Schizosaccharomyces pombe: one gene and its partners. Changing the gene in region 3 together with the main gene of any one other region gives a genetic interaction. Each region holds a gene or a part of one and is shown on either strand. Other genes may lie near its edges.

Region 1 (5,591 bases), on a different chromosome or scaffold from region 3:
GAAGCAATTCAACTTTTTCACATCCTGAACCTACAAGAAGTGACTTTAGCCAGGCTTTTACGCCGGTATCCGATTTCCCTGCAAATCTTTTTCCTGGTTCCAGAAATTTGTTTCCAACGTCCAACTCGGGTAATCAATCTACTTCTTCGTTTTCGCGCTACAATCAACCTACTGTTTCCGTGGATTTAAGGAATTCAAGTATACTAAGAAGAGCTCAAGAACCTGTAAATGGTTCAACTGGAGAAAATCACATTGGAGATGATTACATTTCTTCATTATTGGATAGTTCAAATTCCAATTCACAACGACCGTTTTCAACAGTGCCTTCTGAATCAAATGTTTTTTCGAGGAACGCCTCCGGCAATTTCTCGATGTCACAAACTCATCAGCCGACTACCGATAATACCTCCTCATTTTCCACACAGCCTGGAAGGTTATCTACAGGACTCCATCATTTTCCGTCTGATCGAGATTTACTGTCTAATCAAACTAGACGTTCTAGCTTAGCACGGAGCTATAGATTTGAGGAACAACTTTCTGTTGATGATAATACTAGCGACTTTAGTACGTTGGCTTCCAATGGGGCTGCCGACATGGTTACTCAAACGCATTCAGAGGGAACTTTCTCTAATAGCACCCATGGTGATTGGCTTATCTATGTGTTTGGTGGTCTGTTTCCAGAACATCATCCAGTTTTGTCTACAGTTAGCTTGTTTAGCGATAATCCCATGTATGAAGACTTGTTGGCTCTTACTACATACCTGGGTCCAGCGAAGAAACCAGTCGCTTCTCATGAAGATGTGAAACGATCGGGCGGACTTTTTGCATATTTCGATGATGCTTCACTTTCTAGTGCTGATTCTTGTCTAATATGTTTAGAAACTTATACTAACGGTGACATATGTCGCAAGTTGCAGGCTTGTAAACATTTTTTCCATCAGGCCTGCATCGATCAGTGGCTTACCACTGGTAATAATTCCTGCCCGTTATGTCGGGCTCATGGGGTTACGACACAAGCTGAAGAGGAAAATTAATTTTGACTTGAAATTAAAGCTGGCCTTATTCTATGTTTGTTCACTCTCATTTATTTTCCTTCATCCGTCAAATTTGTTGAATAATTGTTCGCACTATTTGCTTGTGAATGAAATCTACATAATAGCTCTTCCCATTTTTATGGCTGCTATAACCTAAAACTGCTTGACCTTGTTCAACTATCTCTTTGGGACTTTCTCATTTTTCTCATTTATGACCTTATTGATAAAATTTTTGTAATTTTCTACTTGCTGCACGGAAACGAATTGTTTTGTTGTGCGTCTTTTGTTAGAAATAACAATTGCCTTTTTTACAAAGCTGAGTTTTTTCTAAAAATCATTTTAGTTAATCGGTTTGCACGTTTAATATAATTTATTTTCCTTTTAGAAATTTTGCTTCGATTTTTACATATTAGTTTAGATACAAAATTGATGCACATTATCACTTTTAAATATATTTTCTAACAAACAAGAGTATTCATATTTATAATCATGTAAGGATTTTAATAAGAGATCATATTGAATAAGCTTAAATTATAAGGATTTGGTTCTAAGTCGATCATCGAAAGTTTTTAGAATGACGGTGTTTGATACCCTAATTAGTCTTCATGAATACAATTATTTCAGGTCTGAATTGAGTTATGACTTAAAACTTTTCGAAAATAGGAATTAACAGAAACAACAATGATAAATGGAAATGCAGTGGGTCATTCAAAAACCATGTAATTCAGACAAATATTAAAAGCGAGAACTACCATCACTAAGATGTGGAAATCTCTTAAATGGTGAGCTGCTGTCACGACTAATTCCGCTGTCATGAAGATGATGAACACTTCTTCTTTGAAGCGCTATAGGGGTACGGGGTGTTGAAGTGAGATGATCATGTGAAGAACTTCGGTGTTCAAGGAAGGTATCTATGGGTTTTCGGGGTGTGAAATATTCAATAGATGCGGTTGTGGGACCACGAGTAGTATTAATGGCAACATCTCGTTTAACTACCGAAAGTCGAGGTTCTACAAATTTCTTATCATACTCAAAGAATACCTGGCGATGAAGATATTGTTGATCTTTCAGCAGTAAGGAAAATTTATTGACAAAATGCAATGTTGTAAACGAAAGGAGAAAAGTCAACAAAGTCACGCGTAGAGAAGTGCTATAAAACCATAAAATCAAGGCATGAGCAGGAGAAAATAAGCAAGCAAAATTTAGTAAAAATTGATTTGGGCTCCATACTTTCAATTCAAAAACTTGTTCATCGCCATCATCATTATTTGAGTGCTGGAAAACTGGTTTTACATTGGGAGTAGAAGTCGTCGTGCGTTTGTCTTGAGGCAAAGTTCTATACAGCTTATTTTGAAATCGAGTGCTAAATATGAAATTGAGAAAGCTGATGAAAAGAAAACAAATTGAGAGAAATGATAGGAAGGCACGAAACCAGGACCTAGAGGTGTTGATGGACTGCTTATCCACAAAGAGCTGGTTGCGTTGAACTGGTACATGCGTACTTTTTATATAAATGCGCATTAAGAGAAAAATAAAATTGACAGCCAAGCTAAAGGGAATCGAATAACGATCTGATACTTTATCCCACTCTACACTGTCAAATTGTTCGCAAACATAGATAAAGTAATCGATCGGAAGATTGATTATTTTAGAAGTCAGCGATGTACGACGGATTAACTTTCCCATTGAAAAGATTTTTAAGCAATGTTTTGAAATTCAGGTGTACTTTTTGAGTATAAAACAACGCCGAATTAGAAATGAAACAAACCATGGACCTGAAAGGTAAATTCCGATATTCGTATACTAATGAACGAAATTAGGGCACTTCTCCGTTTCAGGATTCAAACCTTACGTATTAATTAGAGTAGCAAAGGCTTTTTAATTAGCTAGGTCGAGCTTGCTATTATCGACTTCAATTGCAACAATGAAGGATAAAAAGTTTTTTATTAAGATAACTTTTTAAATCCGGTACGTAAACAAGTGTGCAATAAAAAAGAAAAAAAAAAGAATTTGCTTTCGCAGGTTGATGTTCCTAAGTATTGGTGTTATTGATGGTTTCAACTTTACCACTACTACTGCTGTGCAAAATCAGTCGTCGATTTAAAATTCCTATTTTTAGGAAATATAAGCTCGATCAGTGACATAAATTTAAACAGTTTCGTTTGACGTTTTACTAATTAATGAATTATTTCCTTAAAATTTAACGGCTGAAGTTTTTTTTGACTTATGTTTATTGTCTCTTATTAATAGTGATGCATGTGGTTTAACTTTTTATTTAATAATTTATTTTCATGTTATGTTTCAGATTTAAATTTTTTAAATCTTTATTTCACGGTTGAAATCAAAAGTAGTTAATATAGCTCATAATATTCAGCAAACAAACTACTCGCCATTCTTGCGCAGTTGATACTGACCTCTTTTTCAAAGGACTTTTTAATAATCATCATCACAGCCATTGTTAGAATTTTGCTTTCTTGTTGGAGAGATTGCTTGAAATAATAATTCTTTAACTAAGAATATATCAGATGTGGCTGTGATTACAACTTTTTATTCAATTTATCGTTATTGATATTATTTGAACCAGCGGTTAAACAAGCATTATCCTAAAGTTGATTCAATTCACATAAACTCTTTGCTCAATGCCACCCAAACGCAAAGCATCCAAGAACTCTGTTCGCGGAAGGAAACGTAGGACACGGACCAATAACTTACCTCTTAATCCTGAAGTGAAAGAGGAAACTGTTGTATCTTCAACTCACCGTCAAACTCGTAGCCAGTCGAAAAAGCCAAGTTTGTCTTCCTCAGCGGAACCTCCTTCTGAGAGTTTAGATGACAATATATCAGCGTTAAACTCACTTCAAAGGAGCGCATCTTCATCCGAAAAAGGTTCCGATGAAGACAATGAGAAGTTAGGCAGCTCAGAAGATGACGAGTTTGACGACGATTTTGACACTTGGGAACAAGTTGATCTTTCTCCTAATAAACAAGAAGATAAAAAAGATTTACACATAGTCACACAGCATATCACTCCTCAACTTACAAAAGAATCGAAGAAAGGCTCTTCTAGTGCAATGGATAAAAGCATTCGATTATCTATTCACATTATGCACTTTACTTGCTTGTTGTACCATGGGTCAGTAAGGAATCGCTGGTTAATGAATTCCTTACTTCTTGATGGGCTGCGCGATTTGCTTGTCGAAAAGCAACCGTCCGTAGTGGAGGCGTGGGTTTGTAGTAGCCAGACGCACGAGGATTTGTTAAAATTGTTAAATGGGCTTCGGATGTGGTGGAATAAATCTTTTAAAATTGAGAGTCATGGGCTTCGGAAGTTGGGGTATCGTACTTTGAAACAAGGATTTGATATCGGCTTTTCGCCAGAAATATTTCATAACTTTCATGAATACCAAGCATCCTTACTTTCGCTAAAAGGAAGCCGGGATTTGGCGGCACAGGGATTTACTGCTCTCTGTCGATCTCTGAATCTGAAAGCAAGACTTATATTTTCTCTTCAACCTTTGACATTTTCTACTGCTTCCTATGATGATTGGTCTCCACATATCCTCCCTGAAGAAACTAGTACATCTATAGATGACGACCTCCGCTATCCTATTTTTTGGACGGAAATCTATGATCAAAGTGAGAAGAAATGGATTGCGGTAGATGCGGTTGTCTTGAATGGGGTATATACCAACGATATGACTTGGTTTGAACCCAAAGGAGCGTATGCAGAGTCAAAACATCTACGAATGGGTATTGTTGCTGCATATGATAACGATTTATACGCAAAAGATGTAACTTTGAGGTATACAGATTACCAATCAAGTAGGCTTAAGAAAATTCGACACGTTTCTTTTGCAGATAAGTATTTTGATTTTTATAAGGCTATTTTTGGGCAACTAGCAAAGCGCAATAAAGATGCAGAGGATATATATGAAGAGAAAGAACTGGAAAGTAAAGTGCCCATTCGCGAACCTAAAAGCTTTGCAGATTTTAAGAATCATCCTGAATTTGTATTGATTAGACATCTTAGAAGAGAAGAAGCATTGCTTCCTAACGCCAAGCCTGTGAAGACAGCAACCTTTGGTAACGGTAAGAAAGCTACCTCTGAGGAAGTGTATCTCCGAAAAGATGTGGTCATATGCAAAACGCCTGAAAATTATCACAAAGAAGGACGAGTAATTAAGGAAGGAGAACAACCTCGAAAAATGGTGAAGGCGAGAGCCGTCACAATTAGCAGGAAGCGTGAACACGAATTTCGGGTTGCTGAAACAAATGAACCAGTGCTTCAGGGTCTATATTCTTCCGATCAAACTGAGCTATATGTTCCGCCTCCAATCAAAGATGGTATTATTCCTAAGAACGGTTATGGTAATATGGATTGTTTTGTTGAGAGCATGATCCCCAAGGGCGCAGCACATTTGCCATATCGAGGAATTGCTAAAATTGCCAAGAAACTCAACATTGATTATGCGGATGCAGTTACAGGGTTTGAATTTCGTAAACATCGTGCGATTCCAGTTACTACAGGTATAATTGTACCTGAAGAGTCGGCTCAAA
Region 2 (7,807 bases), 1.4 Mb from region 3:
TTGCGGTTGCTGCTGTTGAGCGGAAGAAGTTTGCTGTTGTTGTTGAACTTGGGGAGAAGCCGCTTTCCCTGGTATACCATCTTTCTGCGTCGCAACACTGGCATCAACCACGTTATTGACTGGAGTTTGCTTACTTGGGCTAGAGAGCAAATTCTGGCGAGTACGAGCATATGGAGGAATAGTTGACTGCCGCCTGTTATTAGTACCCTGAGTATGTCGACGTTGGACGACATGTTGCTTAGCTGCACTGTATTGCCATCCTTTTCCGTTATTTAGGAGAGTCCAATCATACTTTCCGTCATCAGTTTCATTGATGCGAAGCAGTAAACTGTCGAACAGACTTCGTAGGTAGTCATAATCTGGAGCTTCTTCGTAACCCAAATTCCGAGCATAAATCATGTACTGTAAAAATTCCTTTGGATATCCTTCGCATAGCTCTTTCAAAGGAGTGACTTGTTTCTTTTCACCAATTTTTTCGTATTTTTGCTTATTTGTAGCAGCTTTCAACCCTTGCCAGGGAAGACTACCTCGAAGGAAATACATGAAAACGTGTCCCATGGATTCTAAATCATCTCTTCGTGATTGCTCACGACCAAGATGTGTGTTGATAGACATATAACGTGCAGTACCAGATAGACTCTTATGTTCATTATACGGTCTATGAACATGAGTTTTTGGATCTCGATATTGCTTAGCCATGCCAAAATCGACGGCATAGATAACGTTTTCGGTTTTGCTTCCAGGGAACCCGATTAAAAAATTATCTGGTTTAATGTCACGATAAATAAAATGTCTCTCATGAACAGATTGAATACGGGTGATCTGATTAACCCTGTTAAAATGTAATCACATAAAGCCAATCCGACAACAATCGGATAGACGTTTACAAACTTACCATTTGTTTTGCAATCATGGCAACGGTTTTAGGACTAAAACGTCTGCCACAATAATCAAAAAGGTCCTCTAAACTAGGTCCTAGAAGATCCATGACCAAAAGGTTGTACATGCCTTCTTGACCGTAATAATACACGCTCGGAATTCCAGCTAGGGATAAATGTTAGGAAATTGACGAAAATCAGTATAGCAACCATAGTGAATACTTACGCAAACCCATTAGTAGCTTATAAGTAAGGTATTCATCACGAAGTTGAGGAACCTCGCTTTTTCTGGACTCCTGTGAGAATGCAACGTTAGTACTGAAATTGAGAATCTGGATTGCTCTCTAAAAATAATTACATACAAATTTTAGGGCAATTGGCTGATTATTGATTAAATTTACACCTTGAAATAACATGCCAAAAGATCCTTCTCCAATCTTTTTACCAACGCGGTAATGAACACCAACGACGTTGGAGTGAGACGAAGTAGTTGACATGATGGTCTTTTAAATATTCCACTATGTTAAATGCAGTTTTCTTTAAAATGTTTTTGATTAAAAGAGCGTTCCGGTTTGTTAAATGTTGATGTCTTTCGCACTCGAAAGTTAAAGATGGTTACGGGTAGAAAAATGAAGTAGATGCCGCTAAAATCCACAAAGATTCCATGAAAAACACAAAGAAAGTGACAGTTCAATTATTTCGTTTACAGTTGACAACCTCAGAGGAATCCGAGGCAGCCAACACTGTACTTGGTAGTGGACAAGTAAGCAGTACTGGGTTTTCCACCGATATACCAAGCTAGCGTAGTATAAGGTTGGAAAGCTGAAAATAGATATAATGGTATACTTTCTAGTTTGAGTTAGTGGTAAACAAAATTTTATTTTAGATTCATTAGCTAACAAAATTGACAATGATCAAGGGACTCGGATGAAACCTATCTAACCAAAATTCTTTTATTATCTAATGGGTTTGTATGATTAAGATAAAGGTTAAATCGTATCGCAACTTAAACACATACTAATATAGCAAGTATTTAAATTAGTTTTTGTAAGATAATGATCCAACTTTACGCTTTCACGATTAAGTACTTTGGTAACTTCAGTCACATCTCCAAAGCGAGCGGGTGGGTAAATAGAAATGAGATTTTGAGGATCATATCCTTCAAACTTACAAGAAGAAAGCGAACCAGGTCGGATAAGTCCTTCATGAAAAAGTCCGTTTATGGTCACAGCCTCTAGAGTCCGATATAGTGCTGACATTCGGAATTGGGTTTCTATAATTGCATCGTTTTTACCCTGGGTATCCAAAACTTGGATCCAGTTGTCATGTAAAACAGCTCGTCTCCAAATGGTATTTTCATAAAATCTCTTGGCATCGTCCGTTAATCTGGTGGTTAAAAGAAGACGCAAAGCAAGATAATAGTCGGTAACTTCACCTTCTACAAGGTCCTCTCGACGGTATAAAGAAAAGCTGAGGTACTCCAACAGTTCAGTTGCTTCAACCACCTGTCCGGCAATGAACTTTTTGACTACGCGCTGCATAACCTGACGAGCGATAACAGGCGCTACCTTGGCACCAATCAAATCATCCACAACAGCTTCTACAAGCTGGTATTTTTTCCCCTGAGAACGAAGCCGTTCAACGACTGGCATAACACTTTTGGAAACCATTTTTTGAATATGTAGTTGCTCAAGCTTTTGTTCCACTAAAACCAAATCTCTGATATTTCCAGAGTTGGATGGAACTGCATAAAGAAATAATTTACTTAATGAAAGCTCAGATTCCTTTTTATCAACCAGCTTTTCTTGTTTAGTAGCCAACTGTAGCAATCTATGCGACGCAGCATCGTAGTCTCCTAACCTCATATCATGCATCCATGAAATCTGGTTGTAATCTCGAGATTTAAAAAATTGTTTCAAATAAGATTTGTTGAACCTGTCGCTATTAAGCAACTCTAATGCCATGCCATTTTCAACAAAATAGTCATATAATATAAATGCGAATTTTATACCAAAAAGATCAAGGTAATTGTTTAGTGCATCCGTGAGCTCATTGTCCTCATAAAGTTGATAGCACAATTCTACTAAAGAACGATAGTCTGAGTATTTTTCAGCGATTCGAATGGCACTGCTGCCTTTACCTATATCTGATAAAGTTTGAACCCAAAATCTGCGATTAACTGCAAAAGCTTCCTTGACATCTTGAATTTCACTAGCATCCTTACCACAACGTTGTTCTATCCATCTAATCCTTTCTGAGTACGCGTCAAAGCAAACCTCTGTCAAGGCCACTAATTGTACTTCTAAATTTGAAACGACATTTCTTAGCACCCCTTTATCCTTTATTTTAAAAGTATTCTCCACATCCGAGGTTCCTTGATGTGACTGGACAAGCGCTGACCGAGTAAGTTCAAACTGTCGACACAGCAAAACTAAAGTTTCTGGCGTTGACGTCCAAGGAACCTCTTCTCCAAAGGTATCAATACTTAGCTTATAAATCTTCTGGGACTCACGGCGATAAGCCAAAGCCGAAGATTGAATTGCCAGAATTACTTCATTAGCTTCCATAATTACATCAAGAACTTCCAATGGAAGTTCTTGAACTCGAGAACCTGAATCTATGCAAAATTCATGTGCTTGCGCTATCAGTTGATCAATGCTTTCAATATTATGCAAAAACCACTCTCTCAAAGCGTTATCCGACGAAGCACTTTGAGTGAGTCTATAAATTATGCGTTGAAAAATTAGGGAATGACTAACAGTACTAAATTCAGTATCGATAGTATTCCATAAATATCTAACAGAATTGCATTTTTCGCCCATTACTCTCAACTTGTATAGTACTTGACGATCAACATCCAGTGACATAGACCTAATATACCGGACAAGATTATTCAAAGAATTTAACCTACAGGACAGATGCTGCATTAAAGAAGCAAATAATGGGGGTAAATGAGTAGACCTTGAATTCAAGATGTCCATTCCAAGATCGACAATAATCCTTTCGAGTTCAGGCTTTTTGATGGAGCGAAGGTAATTGCAGGAAAAATCGATCGGATTACCAGGAAGGAAGGAGTAAAAAACAGCTTCTTCCAACTTGCTTTTTACGAGAGATTCGTTATTTGCAGGATGCTCCAAACTATGAACTTCTATTTCAGCGATACCAGAATAAGGGGTTGCTATAAAACATGATTCCGTAGGAATAGAGTATTTTCCTAAAACGTATTTGTAGCAAGTAGACATAAATATGCCGCCAGAGACATTAGTATTCATACGAATAACCTCTTCCCATGATGTTCTCGATACAATATCTTTATCATCCTCTTGGACGTGCACTATAATAACAGCGTCTGTTAAAACCACAAATAAAGAATTCCCTGATGATGAATAATGTAGCTTTGAAGACTCAAGAGATTTAGAAGAAAATGAATACAATGGATGAATATTCATTACCGAGGGTGAGGAAATGTCAGAAAAATCAAGAGAAATAATCATGTAACGGTAATTAATAGAATTTTTCCAACATACTAAAAAACTCACTAGATTTCCGTTTGTGGGGCATATAGTAAGGTCTAACACCTCAAGTCCGCTTGCATCGGGGCATCCTTCTCTCAAAACCTGCTTAAAAATAGGAGACAGATTCATACCAGAAACAAGCTTATTTTCCAACTTCAAATCATATATCTCTAGTAAACCAGATGCCTCAGCGACATACAAAAGATGTTGGTATGGAGAGAACAGTGGTGGGGATTTTAAAGCAATGATATGAATGCTAGGGTAGTTAAAAATCTTCATTTTCTGAAGAATAGTAGAAAAAGTACTAATATCGGAAGCAAATAATTGTACAGAAACGTCAGGTTGACCTGCAGGATCGCGCAGTTGAACAGAAAAAAGACGACCAAAATTGGTAGATATGATGAACTTCATGGGGTTTGAGCAACATAAATGCTCACATTTTTCTTTGGGGAGTAACTTTATCAAACTTTCCATTCCCTGGGGACATATATAAGATTGAGCGAGAGCATTCCCAATTGAAGTCCAATATGCTATACGACCAGAGATAGGCATTACAATCAGCAATCCAGGTTCTTTGTCAGAAGCATCAGAAGGGACGAAGGCTGTCAAGGCATTTTGCCCGGAAAAGCCATTTGAGTCCTCTTCAGGTAGCGGAAATGTTATAGTTGGAGGTTCTGCTGTTCCCAAGCTTTGACGATACGACAAAATAAAGCAAGCTTTTCGGGAATTAATTAATGCATAACCGATGTCTGTGTAGCATGATCCACTTAAAGGATGGTCTAAATTGAATAGAGATGTTAGTTACCTAGTAATGCGCACAGTGAAGAAATAAAAGCTTCGTACCGTTGATAATTTTAGAATTAAAATGTTTAAGTAGACACGAGACCTTGAAATTTTTAGATCTGAGCCAATCCAATGAATTATTATAGGCAGTGCTATCCAAAAGCGATTTCTCAACAGAAATTCGTTTCAAAGGGCTAAAAGATACGACTTCTTCATTTTTCCTTTTACCAAGGATAGAACTCATGACTATTTGACGATATCAGTACTGATACTGGCGGTTATCGTCTATTTGACTCCTTAATACCCTTAGGGATAGAATATGGCTCTGAGAAGGACGAATGTCGACGATTCCTACAAAGAAGGGTTTGAAATCAAAAGAACTTTACTTAGACTCCTATTTTTTACTCAGAATTAAATAGTTAAGCTACTGATAAGAAATTCAGAGTAAAATCAATATATCAATATTTCAAAATCGGTGTATATGTCATATACACTTTTTTCACAAATGTCAACACAGTTTGCTCTTTTGTAATTAATTATTTCTTTGCTTTGGTATATTTAAGGAAGTGATACTTAGGATATTGTCTTTTCCCGGAATGTTGTATAAAACAGAGGTTTTTAAAAAGTAGTTGCGTTCTTCAAGGTCAAGCTTAAACTACTTTTTTAGAACGCATGATCAATTTATATAAATGTTTCATGATTCCGTATTTGAATTTTTTTTATGAGCACGCCAATGGTTGGAAACATCAGATTTCTTCGTAAAATCGCACATCTGGTACAGAAAACTATAAAAGTAGTAGAAAGTTTGGGACTGGGTTGGAAACAACTGTAATAAAGAGAAAAACGCGAAAATACTTTATTTTGAAGTGTCTGAACTGCCGAATCGGAAAGCTATTTTTCATTAGTGTTGTAAATTATCCGAAGGACTGAAAAAGACCAAATTTTACAAGAAAAATAAAATTATTGTATTTTAAGATTTACTTTTGTGATCAATATTCAGGCTAATATCACTTAAGAGTTAAAAAGTTATCTAACTTGATGGCACGAATAAAAAAAATTTTTACTCAGGAAGAATTAAAACAAATCCCCTGTCCATATGATCACAAGCATACAATTGTGCGACATCGTTTAGAATATCATTTGAAGCGTTGTAACGCGCGTCCTGTTGAAAGGACCGATCCATATTACAAGAAGGACATAAATATCTCTACTTCAACAGATGCTTCAGAATCTTCCTCCTTTGAAATCGTCGATTTAAGCAAGGAAGAGTTGTCAAAATGGATTTGTTTGTTCAACAGAATTAGTGATTCTTTACCGACTCCTCAAAAAAAGGTGTTGTTTCACCCGGCAATGAATGCAAGACTGTATGTACGAAGTGCTTTCTCATTAGCTTTTTATTAAGAAGATGGTTGCAAAAGTAGAAACTAACTTCATTTTTAACAGTGAAGAGGGTACAAAAAAAAAGCATGCAATTCAGCAGGTATGTTCGACATGATTTCTTAACGGCAGTCAAAAGCATTAACCATTTTAGGCATCATTGTTAGGACATATGGAAAAACTACATTATTTTGACAACCAAGGATCTATATATTACGAATTCGGTGCTGGAAGAGCCGAGTTATCAAGATATGTTCAGCACTGCTCCCAACAAGAAAACGTATATATACTTATTGATCGTGATTCAAATCGAACGAAGCATGATAGCAGGATATTAAAAGATAGCATCAAAAATAACTGGCCTGAGCCAAAAATTATAAGGTGTAAAATTGATATTAAGGATTTGAAACTCGATTTTTTTGCTAGTGAATTTCGGAATAGTGGTAAACCTGTATTTGCATATTCTAAGCATTTATGTGGTGCTGCCACAGACCTTACCTTGAATTGCTTAAAGTCCTCCCCTCCTAATGCTCTTGTAATTGCCCTTTGTTGTCATCATCATTGCCGATGGAGAACACTTTCAACCTTTGCTAGAGAACAATTAAGTCATTGGGGAATTTCAAATCCACAAGAGTTTCAAATATTACGACAGATGACTGGGTGGGCTGTAAACAGTTTGCGTGAGCATATGCATGCTTCTGGAGGAGCCGACTCACACATCAGTGGTCTTTCTCATGAGGAACGCGTAAAAATTGGGTTGAAGTGCAAGCATATTATCAATTACATGAGAAAATTAGAATGCGAAAAAATGGGTTATGAATCTTCTCTCGTATACTACGTTGGTGAAGAAACGACTTTAGAAAATGTTGCACTCATCGCTTATAAACGAATCAACTAAGTGAATTTCCTTACGTGAGAAAAGTAAGAAAATTTTTTAAATTTGAAAAGATTGCACTCAAAAAAACTAGAATTATTTTGTACTTTTTTGAAGTGTGAGATTGCATATAGCAATCTGATAGTTAAAGCAAATTTTACTTTTTTTTAGCAATCATGATTTCTCTTGAAGTTGGAATTGTTTGGAATATGTAAATTTTGATAGACATTATTTCCTCTTACTTAAAATTAAAAAACTTCCTAACTAGTTAAACTCGGAAATTGTGCAATATTTAAATAATAAAAACTATTTTTTTTAAAAAGTATAAAATTAACAACATTAATAAATAATATGGAATATGTATGAAGGTTTCATATTCA
Region 3 (6,064 bases):
AGACATTTTGGAGATGTTCCAGCCTATGTTTATAAATATTTGTCATACTTAATAGCTATAAACGATGAAACTAATGCTCGCGCGCTATTTGAGAAAGCCATCCCGAGGATTGCAGCTGATGAAGCTAAACCCATATATCAAAAATGGCTTGACTATGAAAGTAATTATGGCGATTTGAATGCAGCTATAGCACTTAGTCAAAGAATGGCTGTTGTTTACCCTCAAGAGTCCACACAAGCCATATTTTTATCGCGCTATGGCTTGAAGGATGATGCTGAGGAAGAAGAACGGGAAACAAAAGAAGCGGAAAAAATTAGAGAACTATCTGTTCGCTTAAATGGAGGAAATGGATTCCCGGGCCATGTTCATAACAACAGGGAAGATGATGAAGTTTCTATAGCCTCTACCTCTTCTAAAAGTAACGTCGAAATGGAAGATACTCGTTTACTTCCTGCGTCTTTGGAATTAGCAAACACTCAAGGAGCATCGAATCCACCTACTTCAGCACTTCCAACTGTTCCGGTACCGTTACCATCTATAATAACCGAATTTTTGGATGAACTCCCAGCTCCTCAAGTAATAACTGGTATGTTGCATAATTGCGCGTTTATTGACTAACTATCTTTTAGGTCCTCGAATCCAACCAACAAAACTTATCGATCATATTATTAAATCAGATATCCCTTTCATTCGTTTACGAAATGCAAATGCACATTTGAAGCGTGCCAGATTTAATTAAAAATTTAGACTATTGCAAAGAAATTTTCTGCACTCTTTCCATTTTTGGTGGTGAGCAAAGTGAACTAATAATGAAATAAAATTAAGTTTTAGGAATGATCGATGTTAAATTACAGCGCCAAACGATATAGGTATATTTTAAAGACGAGTTTATTGTATTACTCAATTTTATCTTTTTTTTAATATATTAATCGTTACAAGAGCAAAGCAATGTGAATTTAGATTTGAGGTTTTGGGTCAAGTATGTAAAATGATTTCGCAAATCATAAAATTCACTTTGGTATTGAATATAATTAGAAACTTTAATCGACGCTGAACCCTTACTTTAAAATTTCCTTTTTTGCTAATTATTCTTAATTTGTGAGGAATGAAGTTTGAGCTTCATCGCATTTCGCATTTAAATATGGTAACCGTTCTTATATTAAACTTAACCGTATTTAAAGTGGTGCATGAAGCATAACTACAGTAAAATTATGTTAAATCAATTTTTAAATTACAGTTGACTCGACACAGAGTACAAAGTTAACTATCCGCTTATTATCTTAAATTTTCTATTTGAAGCTTGTAAATTATATGAAAAGTATTTATTGGGAACTACCCATCGATAACATGATGTTTTCCGTAATTTAATATAAGCAATTATGTGATAATACTAATTTTCTTTTCTTTTTTGTAATGTATTCGACCGCAACTTCATGTTCTTAAATTAGAAATTCATATCATTAGGAACTCCAATGTTGTAACATAAATAATTTATCAATTTTTTTGATTTGATTTTAAAACCATTAGAGTAAAGCACATAAGTAACGTTCGGTTTTTCGTTCTTGATCTTTTCAAGGTTAGTAATACTTGCATAATATATATAGCAACTATAACCGTTGAAACTTTCTTGTTAACGGTTGAAGCGTAAACGTTTTATGTAGTAACAAACAGTGATTGAATGCCATAACGCTATTTCATCACAGGTGTTTTTAAGTATTTTATTCGAAAGTTCCACTGGTCCGTAGTATTTTTAAAAACAAAGTAACAAAAATTCGTAAGTTAAACTTCGATTGTAAAAATCGTGAAACAAATCAGATATGAAAAGTACGCTTAATTCTGAAAGGCCTTAAAAAATAAGTAATTAAATTCACTTCAGAAATTCCTCATATATTAAAGCAATAATGTTTGAGAATTCCAACGAAAAACCTTGTCAAAAGCAAATCATATAACAAAGTATTATAACCCAAAAATGTACTGTACATATGAAAACCTTTCAAGCTTTTTGTCTGTAGGATCGACTAAATAACCAAGTTTTGGCAATCATAACATCCAAATTAATTGAGCAACAAGTTTAAAACCCAAACAATGTGTGCAATACGACTTGAACAATTTTTCCAAATAGAGAAGTTTGAAGCGAAGTGTTGTCAGAAGCAGTTTTAGATTTTTCTTCCTCATCTATTGGCTCAGTTGAACCAAAACCAAATAAATAATGAAATAACCAATTACGAGGTTGATGTTTCTGAGAAGATTTAAAAATATCATTTTTGTGTTGAACAATGACTTTTTTACCAAGACCAGATTGGGATTGGAAATGGGCATCAGCATGCACGGGAATAGACATTGAGGTTTCGGAGGAAGAGGCATCCGTCATTTCCAAGTCTTTATTGCTGTTTCTTAACGTTTTCGGAACATGCTCCTTCGCTTCTGCGGGGCTGTATATACATCCAACCATAAAAGAGTCATTTATCAACATTCCGTTAGACAAAACTGCTTTGGCAGCAGAAGAAGGCTCAGCATATGTTAATTGTAGCCAGTTACCAGATATGGGACCCTTGGAGGGAGTGAATCCGGCACTTGAAGCAGTTAATGAATTCTCGCTAATAATAGTTCCAAAACGAGAAAATTCAGCTATTACTTGATTTGTCAATTCTGGTGGGAAACCGAAAACGATAACGGAGGTATTTGAATCTTGAGGAGCGCCAGACATGGTAAAAGAAGGGTCGTATACCTTTTCAGAGACAGGAGAAAAAGGGGAAGAACTTTGTCCAACATTGAGAGCATTAATTTGCCTAGAGGAAGAAAAGTCATAAATGGATTGAGTAGGAGGAGCATCTTCAATTAAAGATCCGGTACCTAAACGATTTGTATGCAAAAACGGTTTCGGTGTACCAAAGCTGGGTCCGCCGAATTTTGAAGAAGGGGGACTCGAGAGAGATAAACGGAAGGAAGAGCTATTTAGAGAAAATTAGTAAAGGTTCTAAGAGTTTATGTCTAATATTTAAAAATTCATAGGGATTAGGCTGAAGCTCTAACAAATTTGGATATAGATAGATATTAGGTAAAAAAGCAATTATACTAAACAATTTTTTAATCCTCCGTCTTCAAATGTCCCTTAAACTCTTCAAAGAAATTACTTACGATGACTCATATGGTTCTGCTAAAGGCGAGCTAACCTCTGGGGCAAATCGACGCTGCTGACTTGATCCAAAGTGTGAAAGATGACTGGGAACAAATTTTTTTTCTTGTGGAATGTTAGAAACAGATGTTCGAAATCCACGATATTCTTTTTGAGGAGAGGGCGAACGTAAATCATCGACAGAAAGTGGCTTTAAGGTTGATCGATTCGTGATAGAACCACTTCCCCCAAAAGACATGTTTCCGGCAATATTACTAGAGTCTTGTGATAGACTGTTGTGTAACATATGTTTTGCAACGTATATAAATTAGCGGTAAGTTCATTTGAAGGAGATGGCTTGCATGGAATGAATCATGAAGCCTAGCGTAGATCACTAAAACCAATTAACGCAAAATAACAGTTTATTGTTAATGCTATTGATTTTTATAAAACATGCAGATAAATCTTTTGAAAGCCTCAAACTAATATTAATACGTTTAGCTATTCATTTTTTTAAAACTTGATTTAAAGGACTCTGTTAAATTCCAAGCTCATTTACAACAAACCTTATACAATCATGTCATAAAAGGCATTATAGATGATAAAAATTCTCCACAACTTTTTCTCATTGCTTATTGAATAGCGTATCTTTTTCTTACAGAAATTAAAATGCGACTGGATATATATTATAATCGTAGCAATAAGCACCTGAAGTAACAGTGTTACTCCTAACCATGGCAACATTGTTTACACTTGATGATTTAACGAGACACTGCAGAAGAACCAAACATAAACATCTTGGCTTGAAATTCATATACTTAGCACTCAATCACTCCAAGCAGTATTTTTTATATTATTAATTGATAGAAGAATTTTTCTTTTTCTTTAAAGGTCCTACCGAGAAATTTAGTTTTATTTTAAGCTTACCTGAATCTCATGGGCTACTTCTGTTCTGAAGTATGGAAAAATACAAGATTCTTGAGTGTATTGGACATGGGAGTTTTGGAAGGATTTATAAAGTAAGTTTTAATCTTATTTTCACTGAAATTGGTTATTGGATAGCAAAATTCTTTCTTGTTTTCAGTTTATTTGCGAGCAACTACTTGTGGTTGGCAAATGAATCTATAGCATTGAATCAATTGTTTTCTTAAGAAACAGGGAAACTATATTGATTTAAATGCTTTTCGCTATTGTTTGTACTCTATTCAAAACAGTTTTTCAAATTGAAACTTTGATCGATATTTTTTTTTGCAACTCCTTTTTTATGCATTATGCTAACTATTATAGGTTCAACGCTTAAAGGATGGTGCTGTAAGTTTGAAAGCAATTTATTTTTATAGTTATTAATACTTTTTAGCTTTTGGCTCAGAAGGAAATACACTTTGGTAACATTACTCGGCAGGAAAAGCAGTACATCGCAGATGAAGTGAATATTCTTCGTAATCTTAAGCATCCAAATATTGTTCAATACTGCGGAGAAGAATTGAATCGTTCTGCGCAGGTAATAAACCTTTATATGGAATATTGTGGTCATGGTGATTTAGCCAATCTTATTCAACGTTATAAAGAAGAGAAAAAGAGATTTACCGAGCAAGAGGTTCTCAAATTTTTTACGCAATTACTACTTGCTCTGTATCGCTGCCATTATGGAGAAAATGCGCCTGCTTGTGACTCACAGTGGCCAAGAGAAATTTTTCATCCTAAACAATCTGTATTGCATCGAGATATCAAACCTGCGAATATATTTCTTGATGAAAATAATTCAGTTAAGTTAGGAGACTTTGGTTTATCCAAATTGCTGGACAATACGCGTGTCTTCACACAGAGTTACGTGGGAACTCCATACTATATGTCTCCTGAAATAATTCGGAGCAGCCCTTACAGTGCGAAGTCTGATGTTTGGGCTCTTGGCTGTGTTATTTTTGAGATCTGCATGCTTACGCATCCCTTTGAAGGAAGGTCGTATTTGGAATTGCAACGTAATATTTGCCAGGGTAATCTCTCCTGTTGGGATCATCATTACAGCGACGATGTTTTCCTTCTAATCAGGCATTGCTTAGAAGTTAATTCAGACCTCAGACCTACTACTTACCAGCTACTTCGCTCTCCTATTTTATCCGATATTCGTAGTAAATTGGAATCCGAGAGAGTAGTCTTGGAACAAAGCGATTTGCTTCATAAAAAACATCAGATGCTTATTCAATTGGAAAATGATCTCCAATTTCGCGAGCAAAGGCTTTCTGCTCGGGAAAGTGAACTCGAAAACGTTATAGCTTCTCGCTTAGCCCAACGTGAAGAGATATTGCGACGTGAGTTGGAAAAGCAACTGCGTGACATGGATGCTCGTTATCAAAGACACATGCAAACCGTAGTAAACTCTATGCAGAAAATGCGTGTTACAAGTCCTGTGGATCATAATGAACAACCTGAAAGCAGTACCGCTGAGATGTTTGTAGATTGTACAATTGAAGCATCACAATCCCCCCTACTTCATATTCCTAAGTTAGGAATTAGCAAGCCCTTGCAAACGTTATCGTGTCCGGGTTTCACTCTAACTACACAACAACCGATATTGAAAAGACCTACTCTCCGTAAAGAATTATCAAGCAGAGCCTTACATACGACTGCAACATTAATGAAATACAGAGCTAATGCGTCATCTCTAAGGACTACACCTATTGATAAAGATGGCCAAATTACATCGTTACAGCAAAAAAACGGCACGTCGAATCAAGTGGCGGATTGCATGAACAAGTTGCTGCACACATCTTTGGACGGAAAGAAGCTAAGCCCTTCTGAATTGTGTAATAAATTTTCAGACGGTGAAGGTTTACCAAATCGAAAAGTTAGCAAACTTAGCGTAGAGAGCGATGAAACGGCAGTGAGTGCTTCAAGTGGTGAATCCGTCCCGACTGATTCAACGTTGACTGATACGAAGTCAAAGTCTGT

What was found.
Region 1: mutations in nup40 (region 3) and nur1 together harm fitness more than expected from each alone (negative genetic interaction), as found in Schizosaccharomyces pombe (2 studies listed by BioGRID).
Region 2: of nup40 (region 3) and nup132, changing one enhances a phenotype caused by changing the other (phenotypic enhancement), as found in Schizosaccharomyces pombe (2 studies listed by BioGRID, with this or other methods).

Annotation. Positions count from the first base shown.
Region 1 is NC_003421.2:448,696-454,286, forward strand, and holds nur1 (protein nur1), read right to left. Parts: upstream 3,069-5,591; 5' UTR 2,721-3,068; coding exon 1,770-2,720; 3' UTR 1,514-1,769; downstream 1-1,513. Other genes in the region: SPOM_SPCC4G3.12C (ubiquitin-protein ligase E3), read left to right, coding at 1-1,034; DNA repair protein Rhp42, read left to right, coding at 3,674-5,591. UniProt on the Schizosaccharomyces pombe protein: Has a role in meiosis.
Region 2 is NC_003424.3:2,774,984-2,782,790, reverse strand, and holds nup132 (nucleoporin, WD repeat Nup132), read right to left. Parts: upstream 5,504-7,807; 5' UTR 5,421-5,503; coding exon 5,237-5,420; exon of another isoform or gene 5,181-5,236; intron 5,173-5,180; coding exon 1,868-5,172; 3' UTR 1,738-1,867; downstream 1-1,737. Other genes in the region: serine/threonine protein kinase (CK1 family) Cki3, read right to left, coding at 1-822, 896-1,044, 1,105-1,174, 1,241-1,375; tRNA 2'-O-methyltransferase Trm13, read left to right, coding at 6,215-6,540, 6,620-6,656, 6,708-7,451. UniProt on the Schizosaccharomyces pombe protein: Functions as a component of the nuclear pore complex (NPC).
Region 3 is NC_003424.3:1,350,286-1,356,349, forward strand, and holds nup40 (nucleoporin Nup40), read right to left. Parts: upstream 3,449-6,064; 5' UTR 3,375-3,448; coding exon 3,139-3,374; intron 2,952-3,138; coding exon 2,072-2,951; 3' UTR 1,280-2,071; downstream 1-1,279. Other genes in the region: cleavage and polyadenylation specificity factor complex subunit Rna14, read left to right, coding at 1-586, 630-739; NIMA-like serine/threonine protein kinase Fin1, read left to right, coding at 4,075-4,134, 4,403-4,426, 4,473-6,064.